2 linked regions of the Rhinolophus ferrumequinum genome follow. The protein of the gene in region 2 purifies or fractionates together with the protein of the main gene of each other region. This does not show direct contact. Links are inferred from orthologs where the notes say so. Each region holds a gene or a part of one and is shown on either strand. Other genes may lie near its edges.

Evidence for each region. The genes of interacting proteins can lie anywhere in the genome.
Region 1: the proteins of CRY1 (region 2) and FBXL3 purify together in Homo sapiens (affinity purification with mass spectrometry; 4 studies listed by BioGRID and IntAct, counting the BioPlex papers as one, with this or other methods). This does not show direct contact. The link is inferred for Rhinolophus ferrumequinum from reciprocal best matches to the Homo sapiens genes CRY1 and FBXL3.

Annotation. Positions count from the first base shown.
Region 1 is NC_046287.1:27,890,871-27,898,693, reverse strand, and holds the start of FBXL3 (F-box/LRR-repeat protein 3), read left to right. Parts: upstream 1-4,776; 5' UTR 4,777-4,844; coding exon 4,845-4,879; intron 4,880-7,823. UniProt on the Homo sapiens protein: Substrate-recognition component of the SCF(FBXL3) E3 ubiquitin ligase complex involved in circadian rhythm function. Plays a key role in the maintenance of both the speed and the robustness of the circadian clock oscillation.
Region 2 is NC_046293.1:13,616,997-13,624,144, reverse strand, and holds the start of CRY1 (cryptochrome-1), read right to left. Parts: upstream 3,095-7,148; 5' UTR 2,477-3,094; coding exon 2,319-2,476; intron 1-2,318.

The DNA of each region.
Region 1 (7,823 bases), on a different chromosome or scaffold from region 2:
ACACGTGACAGTACAGGCTCAGAAAGTGGGAACTATATACCCAGTTGCTCAGTAACCACGACTTACACACAGAAGGGACTTGACGAATGAACTCTATGAGTTAGCGCGTAAATATGTGCAGTGCACTGTCAGGTGCTCGGGATGTGACCCTCACAGAACACAAAGACAGAAATGTAAAGAATATGAAGTTAAGAACTATAGTCAACGTTTCCCAATAATAAAAGATACCATTTGTTGAGGCTGACGGTGGCCCACACTGTGCTGATGCATCGGTGTGGCCGGCAGAATAGCGGGCCTCAAACACACCCATGTCCTAATCCCAGGAGATGTATGTTGCCTTACATGCCAAACAGGACTTCGCTGATGTGATCGAGGGTGCAGACCTTGAGACGGGGAGATTTTCCTGCATTAACACAATAACCTCAATGTAATCACAAGGGTCCTAATATGGAAAAGTACGCAAAGTCAAACACCTTGTGTTTAGCCCACATTGGACTTTGGACCTTCAGAACTGTACAATACGAAATCTGTGTGGTTTTAGGCCACCGAGTCTGTGATGATTTGTTACAGTAGCAACAGGAAACAAATACAATGGGCTTCACATGCATTATCACATTTTCATCTTCTATAAACCTATGAACTATTATTTTCCTTCTGCAGATGAAGCAACTGAATTTCACAGAGGTTAAATAACTAGCCCAAGGTTTTGCAGAGAGTAAAAAAGACAAGAAGTTTAAAATATCTCAAAAATTGTTTTAATTACTTACATAGTGAAATGATATTTTGGATATATTGAGTATATATTTAAATTAAATATTAAAATTAATTTCACCTATTTGTTGCTTCTTTAAAAAACTGACTTCTAGAACATTTTAAATAATGTCTGTGGCTTGCATATAATTCTAATGAATAGTGCTGGCCTAGAATCTCATTCTCAAAGGTTTGGAATTTATCACCCATCTTTGGACTTTTTTGAGCAAGAGACATGTGCTTTAGGGAACATAATGCAGGAAGCAGGTTAGAAGGTGGCTTGAAAAACACTGTCCCTGGTTTGCTGACCAGCTGGAAAGTTTTAAGTGTGGTCTTGGGAAGAGTTGATAAAGATTCACATCAGTCTCAAAACACACTTCTCTCCTTTGAGGAGTTTACAGTCTAATCCCAGGTAGGGTTAAAATCCAGAGAAATGGCACGAAATGAAATGGTTTGGGTAGGCTAATTTGCGAAAGAGGGAGGTATATGCTGGAATAACTAACGGGAGATGTGGGCTTGCTGAGGCAAGACGCCAAGTTGGAGTGAGTGTTCTCACTGGTGGAGCTAGAGCCAATAGTAATAACAACAGTAACGTAGCTAGCATTTACTATGCCTGTGCCTGTGCTTTATATGTGTTAACTCATTTAATGCTCAGGACAACTCTCTGTGGTAGACTTGTTATTATCATTCCCATTTGGCAGATGAGGAAACTGAAGCACAAAGAAGTTAAGTGGTAACTTGTCCAAGCTCGCATATCCAGTAAAGGCAGAACTAGGATCAAAACCCCAGCTACGGCCCAACCCACATCTCCATTCCGATCTGGAGCAGTTTTGACTAAGCAGTGGAGACGGGGCTCTCAAGTTTGCAAGATCCAAGAAGGGAATGGAGGAGACAAGAACTTCTCCTCCTGTTGGGAAACACCACACAGGGGGGAACTGAGAGAAGAGAGCTTCAGAAAAAAGGAGAGGAATTGGGGAGAGAGAAAGCAAAAGAGTGGGAAAGGACATTCTAATCTCAAAGACCCTCCATTTCTATGAATCAAAGGAATAACTAAGGCAGAATTAAAAGCTCTGTTCCTCCCCCACTCAACTGCGCTTCAGAGATCTACCTGCCCCTCAGGAAAGAATTTCATACCTCTTTCTTATAGTAAGGCCAGTGGTTGGTCATGTCAATTTGGAGGCAGGAAATCCATCAAAAAGGGGCAGGTGTAAGCCCATTTTCCTGGGGCTCCATCCAAGACCAGCCAGCCCCAGGGACCATCACCCCTATGTTACTAGGCAGAAGTGTCCTTGGTGAATGGCAGCTATGGAGAAGATGCCACACCCAACTCACTCCCAGAAACAGGACACGGTGACACCAAATTGCATGACTGCCTTTCAGTTAGAAGGAAAAGTCATTTGACACCCAAGGAAGAACCTTTCCAGATCAAGTTTGCACTGGTAAGGAGTTTTGGTAGCAAGCAAAAGAAAACAAATTCAAAATAACGTTAGCCAGTAAGAAAAAAACGAAATCACTGTGATACCTCCAGGCCTTGGAAACAGAGTTAGAACCAGGGCTGGAGACTCTGGCTCCCTGGCTCCCTCTAGGTCCTCTTGCATCTCTTTTGCTTTTCCTTTTTCTCACCACAGAGCACCTTTTTCTGATTTCCAGACCAAGTGGTAGGAAATGACCATCTATAGTTCCTAGGGTTGTTTGTTATAAGTCCAAGCATCCAAGGAAGGGATTAATAAAGCTGACTAATAAAGCTGGTTTTCTTTTTTCTTTTTTTTTAATCACATGCAGTGACAATTCTAAACAGGGTCAGTAATAAAATATTCTTCTCTGTTGGACCCAACTACTCCGCTGCCACCCTTCCTCTTCACCACAACTGATAAATGTAAATAAGTATTGACTGATTCAAAAATAAATACGTCTCTTTTAAAAAAATAAAAAATAAAACATTTTCATAATAATAGGGATGAAGAGGGAGAATTTGACAGGTAAATTGAACCAAGATCCTTCAGGGAGAAGATAGCCTGTAATGAGGAATTTAAAAAGGAGTACAATTGGAGTGTGACAGTCTGAATGTGGTAATAATATATACTCATTATGTTTGCTGATTTAATGTGGTTTGCTGATCATTTATAATGTTGACCTAGCTTTAAATAAATGGGCCTGTATCTGTTTTTCTTCCTCTAGTAATTACCATTACCTGTCTAAAAACCTGCTTCATCATTCAGTCACTCAGGGACCTAAAAAAATGTTGCAGTTCAGGTACAACCACAATATGTTATTAGAGACTTTGTTCAGTTTGACTTGATGATTCAACTGTCAGGTCCTAACAGAAAACACTGGCGTTTTTCCAAGTGAGTCCAAATATAATTTTACACATGGCTTCCTAGCTCAATTTGGGGGTTTGGAGGGGTGTGACCTGGAAGAGTGCAGCATCACTCCCTTCCAGTCTCCTACACATGGGTCAAATCCTTGAAAAGCCATCTTTGGATGGAAAATTACTTTCTTTTTATTTTTGAGGCAGGCAGGAGGAGTGGTGTATGACTCAAGTTATGATTTTGCACCTAAGGACAATCTAACTTTTTAAGAAAACCCACAATCCAAAAATCCAAACGTTTAAAACAAGTTAACTAGGTATCAGGAACAAAGATACGTCGATTTACAAAAGGGTTCAGCAGAGGTTTTAAATAACTATTCCCTTACATTTTCCTTATTGTGTTTCAGAAAGCTATTTACAGACTTCAGGAGTCTATTTTATAAAGGAGGTTTTTAAAAAGCATTAACTCTGATGATAAAAATCGTTTTTAGAAAAATTGAAAAATATATTTTGAATATAAAAATCATCTATACTCCCAGCGTCAACACTGTCACCATGCTGGTATACATCCTTGCAGTTTGTAAAAACACCTTATGTAGACCGGTGTATGAAGTGTGCATAGTTTCAGAGCTTGTATTTTAACCTCTCGGGCTCCGCGGCGCAGGAGTGGCCGTCCGAGGCCGCGCCCGGCCGCGGAGGGGTGTCAGGGGCTCACAGCTCCTGTTTATCCTCCTGCCCCACGACCGGCAGCTGGGCTCCTGCAGGCTCCAGACACTCCCTCCTTTCCTCATTCTGCGCCACCTCCTTCAACTTCCTAGTTCCAACCACAGATAGTCTCTTAGACATCTCCTTAGCTCCAGCCCTCCCACTCTGGCACCAAAACCAAAAATCTCCTAAAAGCAGCAGTCACGTGGAACCTGGAGGCGGAAGCCCCCCAGCTGCGCCGGGCAGTGCGCGCTCCTGCGTGGGCGCGGCCCACTCGCGCCCGCCGCGCGTGCGCGCGCGCCACTGCGGACACGCGCCCCCTTCGGGCGGAGACGCGCCAGGGAAAGCGCGCGGCCGCGAGCCCCGGGCGCCATTTTGGAGTCGGTGTCCGGGCCGAGGTGCCGAGGGTCTCCGCGGCGGCGGGAGCTCGCTGAGTTTTTCACCGCGACGAGTGGTCTCGGGGGCAGGACGCGGACGGCGCGGGACTGGGAAGGAAGGCTTCTCTCTGGGCAGCCAGAGCCGCAAAGGTGGATCCGCATTGGTGCCCTCCGCGGGACCAGCGTCTCGGATGCGGGCGGAGCGCGGGGGGCCGCGGCGGCGGGAACCCGAAGCGCGGGGCCCGGGGGGCCTCATGTGAGAGCCGCGGAGCCAGCCGCCGCCATCCCCGGAGCCCGGGGTGGTGTGTGGGGGAAGCCGCCGCCGGCAGCAGGTAACGGCGGAGGGTTAGTGCCGGAGCCCCGCTGTGACGGCGGGACTGGGGAGGGTCGGCCGACATTGGTGGACTGCAGGGGGGGCCCGGGGGCGCGCGGTTCCGGGCGCGCGTGGGCCGCCCCTCGCGAGCGCGGGGCGGGGCGGGGCGCCGCGCTCAGACCTTGGAGCCTGCTTGGGGGCGTTTCCCCGCTCGCCCGCTTCTAAACATGTCAACAAGGCGTGGTGCGTGCGCGGCGGCGCGTGCAGCCTCCCCGCGGCCCCGCTGCGCCGCGGCTGTAGCCTGGCATTCTTCTTCTTGGCAGGGGTTGATGACAGGCACCTTTGAGCTCGCGCTGGGTCGGGGCCACGCCCGTGCCTAATCGCTGGAGAAATGAGGGGCATTAAATGTCAAAACAGACGGTCCAGGTAGGGCGCGCGAGATAAGTCAGGGAGGTGGCGCAGGGAGGAGGACATGCCCGGGGCGCGCGGCCAAGTGGAAAACTTGGTCAACTTGTGATGAGCAGCTGCTTCAGGTGGCGCTGCAGACAGGGATCAGGCAACAGCCTATCAGATGATGGGCCTGCATCTCTGAGCTAAGAAGTGAGATTACTACTGTATGTGTTATCTTGTTGCTGATGATACCCAGTGGCCCAGATATTTTAATTAGGCTTTTATTTTCTATCGTTCCTGAAATATTTATAAAAATGCCATTGACTGCCAGTTATCTACAAATGACCACTAGACAGATTTTCACCAGTGCATTTTCCCTACCTTCTAGTTCTGAGAGTTAATCTCTTTCCGTGGCTTTATTTTTGTATGCCAGCCAAAGAATGCGTGTTAATTTTGGTATTAGTCAAAGCAGAACATAAATGGAAAGGAAATACGAGGCCAAAGCAGGCTTTTGAGAGCTAAGTATAAATGGGCTTTTAAAATTACCACAAGCCCAGTGTACTAAGAGTGCCTGATACAGTGAGGGACGCACGGCTAAGTGGTCTCTTGTGCCCTTCATCTGACACAAGTGTGACTGCTCCTTTCAGAGTATGTGGAAATAATGAGTTAGTTCAGTAACTCCCTGCGCTGCTCAATGAATCTGCAGTTTTTCCTCATTAGTTTCATAGTGGTTATATCAGTCCCTCACCAAATGCTCTGCTGGCCCAAGTTGCATCAATTATTTAGAGCCCGGAAAAGTTGCATTTTGAAATTGAATTGCTGGAGCCCTGAGGAGGCCTGCCTGGTTTTGATGCTCTACAAAGTCACTTTGACATTGATTGTCCAGCTTCCTTTTCTTTCAGTCCTGTTAAAATATAATAGATGTGTCATTTTGATGAAAAGGCGGAGATAATCCATTGATGTAAATTCTTGGCAGACTGGTGGGTGCTTTGAATTGTTTAACTTTCTCTACAGAAGGACTTCATGTATAAATAGATTTAATAAAATACTTTTGAAAGCCATGTAAATTTTTGCATGGATAAATGAGATCATCTTGGAAAAATTGACATTTATAATTTTTATTAGATGCCCACTGGGTGATCTCTTTTTTCATGCACAAATGAGGATAATACAGAGACCATTTTTATTGGTATTTGGGCTTAGAGTTTTTTCTATTGCTTAATGGACTAGAATCCTGAAAAATTATAATCATATCATATACATGGTAATTTACACACTTTGTTCTGCTATTTATAAAGTAGTAAGTGCCTAAAATACACTTTGGTGATCACATAATCTTATATCTAGATGAAGTGTTGCATACTTCTTTTTAATATGTCAACTTTTTTCTCCCCTCAACTTGGAAAGGTACTGAAATATACTTTATTTAAAACAGGGTGGTAATAGATAAAAGAAAGTATCTATTAGGATCAGCAAAGTATTAGTAAAGATAATTGTGTAAATAAGACTGTCATTTTATTTTCATTTATATGTCCATATATTCTAAAGTAAGATGAATCATCTCATCTTTAAGTTGGATAGTTCTGGGTTTAGACGACTTCTCCAGAAAGAGGAGATCAGCATTCTGTAATGAGGAGTAGAAGTTATAAAGATGGCTTCATTCTTTTTTCCAATCTCTGTTATCTCAAAATTCTGAAGAGGTTTAGATATTCAGAAGAGAAATTATAAGCCCGAGGTAGCAAACTCTTTGTTCTTTGACCCAAATTTTGTACGCTAAAATTAAAGTAAGCCTTCAGAATAAGTGAAAGAAAAACAGGTCATAATGACAGTGTTATTTCAACCTCTAGTTGGACATTATTACTGTGAGAGGTATTTTTAAATTAAGATTACATTGTAGATTATACTACTCGTTTCTAAACGTATATTTAGAAAAGCGTTCTTAGATTCACACGTAAATTTTAGTCTTCCGTGAAACTACCCTCTTGCCACCACCTCTCATTGTTTTCTCCCTTTCTTTCCCCCTGCTATTTCAATAGGATATACACCATTTACTTCACTTAAGTAGAGCAATGAGGAAAAGGCAGTTTATTGCACATGTGCTAAGACCTCCTGAGCTGATTTTAATGGCATGAAGAGCAGGGGTCTCTGCCATTGTTTCCCTCCAGCCCCCAATCCTTTTTCACAAATTTTGCTAGCTACTAGGTACAGAATCTGCAAAGACTTATTCATACATACGCACATCCATTGTCCCACACTGGAATCAGAAATTCTTGTCTGCTGATGTGCCAGAAGAAGAGAGTTGGAGCCACAAGCTATCCTTTTCAAAAGCTACTATGACTCCAAATCCAAACCACCACCTTGCTAGAACTGCTCTCTAGAGACAAAAGTATTGCAGGCTCTAAACTAAATAGAGGTACTACTTAGTGGTCCCCACTTAGTTTAGAGCCTGCGATACTTATTTTTCTAAGTAACAAGCCAAAACAATTTTATCTGATTTACCTTTTTACCTGATTACAACGTTAATTCATTGACATTAAAAGAAATACATAAAATATAGAGAGTCATATTGGCAAAAAAAAAAATTTACCTGTAATCGCACTATTAATATAGTATGATCCAATTAACTGTTATAGTTACTATAATTAATGTGGTGAATTTACTTCCAATGTGTATTTCTCATATGTAAACTTCTTCTATTCTTGCCCTCTCTCACACACACTTCATTTTAAAACAGAAATAGGATCATTTTCCCTACTTTTACTGTGTTGTGCACTTTAATGTCTTTAATACTGGACTGCTTTCCTATACCTGAGTTGGACTGCATTACTGTACCTGAGTTCAACAGTCACCTATCTCGTTTCAGAAGCCCTAGTGCTTTTTACTAAATTCCTTCAAGAACTCTGTGTGTTATTTTCATTTTATAAACTGAAACACAGAAAGGTCAAGTAATTTTGTTCACGGCCACATAACAAGTGAGGTA
Region 2 (7,148 bases):
ACCACACCATTTCTCTGATCCACTTACAGCAAAACCCCTAAAAGAACTTTTTATCAGTAGTCTCCCAACCTTTCTCCTGTCAGCTTCTCTTGAGCTATCCAAAAAGGCTTTTGCCTCTGACACTACTGAAACCACTCTATCAAGATTATGAATAACCTCAAAGTGCTAAATACAATTTTTAACTTTTAGTCTTCATCTCACTTGACCTATCAGCAGCACCTGATGTCCGTAAAACATTTTTGAAATACTTTCCTTACTTGGTCTATAAGACACTACACTCTTCTGGGTTTTCTTCTTACCTTACTAGATGTTCTTTTCAATCTCCTATGCTGGTTCTTCCATAGCTCCACAATTTCTACACACTAGAGCACCCAAGGCTCAGTCCTTGCACCTCCTCTCTTTTCTATCTACACAAACTTTCTTAATGTTCTCATATAGTTTCATGACTCCTCTAGAATGTAGCTTCAACAGGTAGGGGTTTTTGTTTTGTTTTGTTTTTTAGCTATTTTGTTTATGCTGAATCCCCTGCACCTAAAACAGTGCCTGCCATGCATTGGGTGTATGACAAATATATGGATGAATAGCTTTAAATATTATCTACAAATTGATGACTCACCGATTTATACCTCCTGCCTGGATCTCTGCCCTGAACTCCAACAACCGATTTGCTATCTCCACTAGGATGTGTAATAAACATCTCAAACTTAACCAAGTTCAAAAGAGAACTCCACTACCCTCCCCCAATGATTTCTCTGACTGACGTCACGTTCTTAGCAAAGTGCAGCTCCATCCTTCTAGTTCCTTAAGCCAAAAATTCTGAAATCATTCCTAATTCCTCTCTTTCTCTCACACCACATGTCCAATCTGCCAACAAATACTGTGGATTCTGTCTTCAAAATATATTCAGCACTTTTTGGCTACTTCTCACTAAGTCCACCACCAACCATCACTATGTCCAAGCCATTACTACTTCCCACCTGGGTGAATGCCACAGCCTCCTAACTGGTCTTCCTGCCTCTTATCCTCCTGCACCCCTCCAATTCAGTCTGTTCTCACAGCCAGAGAAATTTTTTTCAAACTTAAGTCAGAGCATGTCACATCTCTGCTCATAATCCTGCAATTATTCCCACTTTGCTCTGAGTACAAGCCCAAATCTTAATAATTGCCTAGAATGCTCTACTCAATCTAGCCCTATTTCATCTCTGACCTCATCTACTTCTTTTCCTCCACTTCTGCTCCTCATATTCGTTTCTCCTGCTGTTTCTTCCAAAGGTGAAGCACATTTCCACCTCAGGGCCCTTTCTCTTATGCTCCTGCTGCCTGGAATGCTTTTCCCCTAGACATCCACAATCCGTATTTGCTTCATCACCTTGTTCAACTGCCACTTCTCTCTGAGTTTTTCCCAATCACCACACTTAAAATTACAACTCTAATCCCAACTCCTTGTATTCTTCCCCTTTCTGTTTCGTATTTCTTCATCCCCCTTCTGCTTCGTATTTCTCCATAGCATTTATCACCACCAAATACTGCATATCTTACTTTCTAGGACACCTGCTTACAAAGGACACGAATCGTAGTCGGTTTTATTCACTGCTAGTATATCCCCTGGAGTTTAAAGCAACGCCTGGTATGCAGTAGAATGCTATCATTTCCACCAGGGGGCCTAACAATCAACTAGCCTGGTATTTCAGGAAAAAAACATCAAGCTTCTCTACTATTTCTTCCACTACTCTGATCCCTAGAAGGATTATACTTTGCCTAGAAAGAAAAACGGTGCTTTGTCCAGTCAACCACAAGGAGGAGTTGAGAGGCAGAGCTGAGCAAAGAGAAACCAGATGTTTCCCTTGCTTTTCCTCCCGCAACCTCAAGGTGGAAGAAAACGGGATTGGGAGGCGACGGTACTGAATGAATGATGTTCTCCATACTACGATTTACCGAGACCCACACACACATACACATTAAAAAACACAATCCTTTCCGATGCCACAAGGAGGCCAAAGAAATCAACCCACGGGCCCCTGAAAAAGAGGAGGGTGTTTCTTTAACTCCACCGCGAAGAACTCCCCACAAATCCGGGAAGAGAGTTCCCATTAACGCAGACACGACATTCACGGCGGAGGCCAAGGCGTTCCCGGTGGCCAGCACTCCCTCGCCAGCGAACTATTAAACCCATTCTATTTCATACTTAAAGCGTCTACAACGTTGAAAACGGCACAAGCAAGGCGGTCCCAGGTTTAAGTTCTCCGACTGGGCCGATCGCGTGTCAAGTCCCGATTCCTGAAACACCGAAATCAATTTCCCCCGGGATTCTGACTCACCGCCACCTGTTGATGCCCACATTGGAGGAGCCGGCGAACCAGGGGTCGAGGATGTAGACGCAGCGGATGGTGTCGGCACCCTGAATGCACTCCTTCAGGGCGGGGTTGTCGTGAAGCCGGAGCCCCTTTCGGAACCAGTGCACGGCGTTCACCCCCATCCCGGCGGCGCGGCGGGCGGCGGGTCCCCGCCGAGTTCCTCCACGGAGAGAATCAAGGAACGAGGGTCCGGCTCATACCCGACACCTCGGCTTCCAGGAGAATCGCCGCACCCAAGGAGTAAGAACAGGGCGGCCGACGGGGGGAGAGGAAAAAAATGAGTCCGGGGAAGGGACCAGAGAGTGAGAGGGCGCTGGAGGCGCAGCTGGAAGATGAATGGAGGTTAGGTTGCCCAGTCAGCGGAGTCCGGGTGTGACGCCCTTTAGGAGCCGGCGCCCGTCGCAACGGCCTGGACGAGTCGCATAACTTCCAGGGCCTCGGACCCCCAGAGGGTGAGCAAGTTCCAAGGGCTCAAGCCTCCTCCACAACCCGAGCCGGCACCCGCAGCCCCGGGAGGTTCGTCACGGAAACCTCACCTCCCCGAGGCGGCTCCTGAGAAGAAAGCGGCCCGCCCGAGGCAAGCCACCGAGAGGGATGAGCGAAGACTCAGCCCCCGTGGGCCACGCTGCCTCTCCGCCCAGAGACGCGAGTGAGGACGGAGCGCGAAGCACGGAGGCGGTGGTCCAGGCCGCTGGACGGTTGCCCGCCGGTGACGGGTCCCGAGGCGGCCCGGGTGACTCCGCCGACACCACCGCGTCAGAGGCCCCGGCCCCGCCCCCGGCTCCTCATTGGAGGGCGCGCTGGCCACGTGACCACCGGCACATCACGTTTCTGAAATGTGTTTACTACAGCGGCTCTGACTAAGGAATGTGCTCGCGCTTCAGTTGCTTCTAGGGGCCGACAGCCTTTGGGTCTCAAAACCGTCGATCCTCGCCCAGCCACTGGGCTCTCGGTCTCTGCCCCTTTTCTCGGCGGACTGATCGCGGCTGCCTGGATGCCCCCGCGGCGATCACAGGCCCCACGTGAAGGAAGGCTTAGCTCCACCTTTGGGGGCCGCGAGCGTCCACCATTGGCTGAGGCTTGCTGAGACCCGGATGAGCACGGGGATGCGGGGAGCTCGCGGGCGCGCGCTTGGCTCTGGAAGGGGCGCGTGCGCTCTTGCTGCGTTCCAGGGGTCAGTAGGGCGGGGCAGGCGAGCGGGAGCGCGCTCAGGGATTCCGCTGTGGGTCCCCGGAAGGCCTGAAGACGCACTGGTACCCATCCAGAGTCAGCGATGGCTCCCCGCGGGGAATGAGGGCACGGTAGAGTGGGAGAAGGAGAGTTGGAGGATCCACGTCGACTTTGATCCCAAATCATCTGCTTCAGTCGAGCTTTGTGCAGAGAACCCTACTTTGGCATGTGTGGAGCTGGCGCCCTTACCAGTCTTCTGGACCTCCACGCTGTACCCTTGGACTTGGTCTGGGGAAGAGGAGTAATTGGCAGGGCGAGTGCCAAGCACTCCTAGACTGATTGTATTTTTTTAATACTAGAGCTGTAACATCAGTATGTCAGCCCTAGTCTCTTACATTTAGTGTGGTTTACAGGGCTCTTTGCCCACCTTTCCAACGACAGTGAACTGCAAGCCATTCCTTATTCGTATGATGCCCTTATATTCATTCAACAACCAGGCACTCTTCAAAGTGCTGTAGATACAGGAGAGAAGAAAATAGGCTAAAATCCCACCCCTCTGTAGAGTGTACAAGCTGTATGTCAACCTTTACATGTGCTATCTTTTCCTCTATAAAATGCTTTTCTTTGGAATCTGCTGCTCCCTACAACCACCTTTACCCTACCTAGTATATTTCTGCACATTCCTTTAGACTCAGATGAAATGCTACCTAATTTCTGAAAACAATCCTTTCCCCAGAGCGGATTAGGACCTCACCAAATCCCTCAGGCCTGTCTCTGATACATCACTTATTGTAAAGATTGAATGAAAAGTGCCTATTTGAACACCAAGTACGAAGTAGGTGCTCAATAATTGTACTTATTATCATGTGTCTCTGCTTCCCTCTGAAGTGTGACTTCTCAAAGACAGGCTCCATCCATTTCTCTTTTTTTTTTGCGTTATCAATACCCAGTACAGAACCTGACATATATGCATTCAAATGTTCATTGAATGAATGAATTAATGAATGCTGCTTGCCACCTGTGTGTTTGGCAAGGTTAAAAGGAGAAAAGATATGGCAATTGCTACTGGTTGAATTGTGTCCCTCTACAATTTACATAACCCCTGTGAATGTGATCTTATTTGGATATAAGGTCAAGTTAAGATTAGGTCATTAGTATGGGCTCTAGTCTAATATGACTGATGTCCTATAAAAAGGGGAAATTTAGACACAGACCCACACATAAGGAGGTTGCTATGTGAAGATTGGAGTTATGCTGCCACACACAAGGAACTATGTACTCGAAGCTCAGAGAGCAGCCTGGAACAAATCCTTCCCTAGAGCCATTAGCAGGAGTACAGCCCTGCCAACACTTTGATGTCAGACTTCTGGTCTCCAGAACTGCGAGACAATAAATGCCTGCTGCTTTAAGCCACTCATTTTGTGTTGTGTTACAGCAGCACTAGCAAACTAGTAACAGTAATAGAGATTCAATTATCTAGTGAGCCAATATATCTGGATAGTATTCCCCATCCTTGCCTCTGTTGCATATAGCATCCTTTCTTTGGTTTCTTAAAAACAGTTAAATTGTTATATGTGAAAACCCTTTGTTCACTATAAAGTATTAAACAAATAGTTATTTTTATCAATGGGGATGATTCTTGGGTAATTACCACTCTGAGGGATCCATCACCTACGCAGAGGATGTGGCGTATAGAGCTGTGCCCTCTCCTGGATTGCCTCATACTCCAGGGCCTGTTGTACTTTTAAAAATACAATTTCATGTTTCATTTCAGACAGTTTGAAAGTAAGCAGATTGTGTCTAAAGACATAAGAATTGTTTTCAAGCATCCAAATGAAACAGTGGGCGGTAGAGAAAGAATATTGATTTGTGTAGAGTTGACTTATGTTTGCCGATTGTTCATTTAATAAAGATGGATTTTTTTTAACAGACAGCTGTAGGTGGGTGTATGTGTAATTTTCATTTACACATAAAAGTACTAATTTATTATAAAAGTGTCAGTATTGTCAACTCCATTCCACAAAAACGAGGATATTTATGGCATGAAAACAGTTACTTTAATATATCTGTTATTGGGGGGAGTAACCACTTAATAATAGTTATGGCTTATTGAGCACCTACTGTGTGCCAGGCACTTTATATAGGTTATTATTACCCTCACAATAATATTTTGAGGCAGCTCATTATTATTTAATAATAATTTATACCTATGTCGCTGAAGACACTAAAGCTCAGAAATACAAACAAGTAATAAAACTAGATTAAAAACCAAGACTGTTTCTTTTTTTGTTTTTCTTTTTTAATTAATTTATTTATTTATTTATTCATTTTTAATTGGGAATATTTTGGGAACAGTGTGTTTTTCCAGGACTCATCAGCTCCAAGTCAAGTCATTGTTTTCAATCTAGTTGTGGAGGGCGCAGCTCAATGGTTCATGTGGGAATCGAACTGGGGATGTCGGTGTTATGAGCACTGCGCTCTAACCGACTGAGCAAACCGGCTGCCCCCCACGACTATTTCTGAATCCAAGCTCTTTCTTTATGATATACTACCCTCATTGACACCACCACTCCCCTTCATTTTCAGAATGAGTATTTGTATTTAAAAGGGGAAAGAGAGATGGGGAGCATTTCAGGAATCTTGTGGAATTCTGCTGGGCTCCAACATCATGGCGGTAGAAAGAGAATAGGACTGGGTTCTATTTCAGCTCACCATTAATTAGTTGACTCCAACAAGTCACTTAGACTTTCTTGATCTGATTAATTCATCTATAAAATGAAGAGATTGAAGTAGATGACTTTTAAGTTTTCTATGCTATTTTAAAATTCTAGGATTCTGTCAACACAACCCTGCCATGGGCTCAAAAATATCTAAGAGTTCTGTTAAACATTTTTTAACTGCCACCAATGTTAGAAAAATCGATATCTCTTTGATTTCATAAGCACCCTTGATAAAAGTATGTCAGCCTCTAAACTGAAAGCCTGTGTTCTCTCTTGACCCCATCTTACAGAGGTGATTTTTTTGGCATGCGTTATCAGCACACAAATAATGAAGGAGTAGACAGTGTGATCAGCTCATTCAGTCTTGATGTGATGTGAATGTTAGTGATGTAGAATATTTTCTTTGTGCCGGGATCGTGTCTCATGAAACCGAAGAATGGAAGCACGGACCAAGGAGAGGTGAGGAGTTGTGAAAAAGGATAGTTTATTAAAAGTAAAGAGTAAAGAGTTGCAGCTCTCAGAACGAGAGGGGGTCCCGACCAGGGTGCTCAGTGACTAAAGCAAAAGCTCTTACTTTTATACCTTCCCGTGCCAGTTTGGAGAAGGGAGCTGGGGCCTTATAATGGAATTCATCTATCAGGTTTGTCCTGTTTGCCCACCCTAAAGGGATTAATGAACCCATTCCTATGTATCAGATTTGTTCCTTTTGTCCAGCCAAAAGGAATTTATGAGATAATTTATTAACCTCAAGGCGCATTCTTATATCTGTGTCCTGGAGTGAAGGATATGGCTGCCTTTTGTTTATTCCACCAGGGACCTTCCTGTCTACCTAACAACATGCTAGCTAATCTGTCTCATTAGGCTGGTAGCCCTTGGCTGAGGGATTCCCAACACTAGAGTTGTT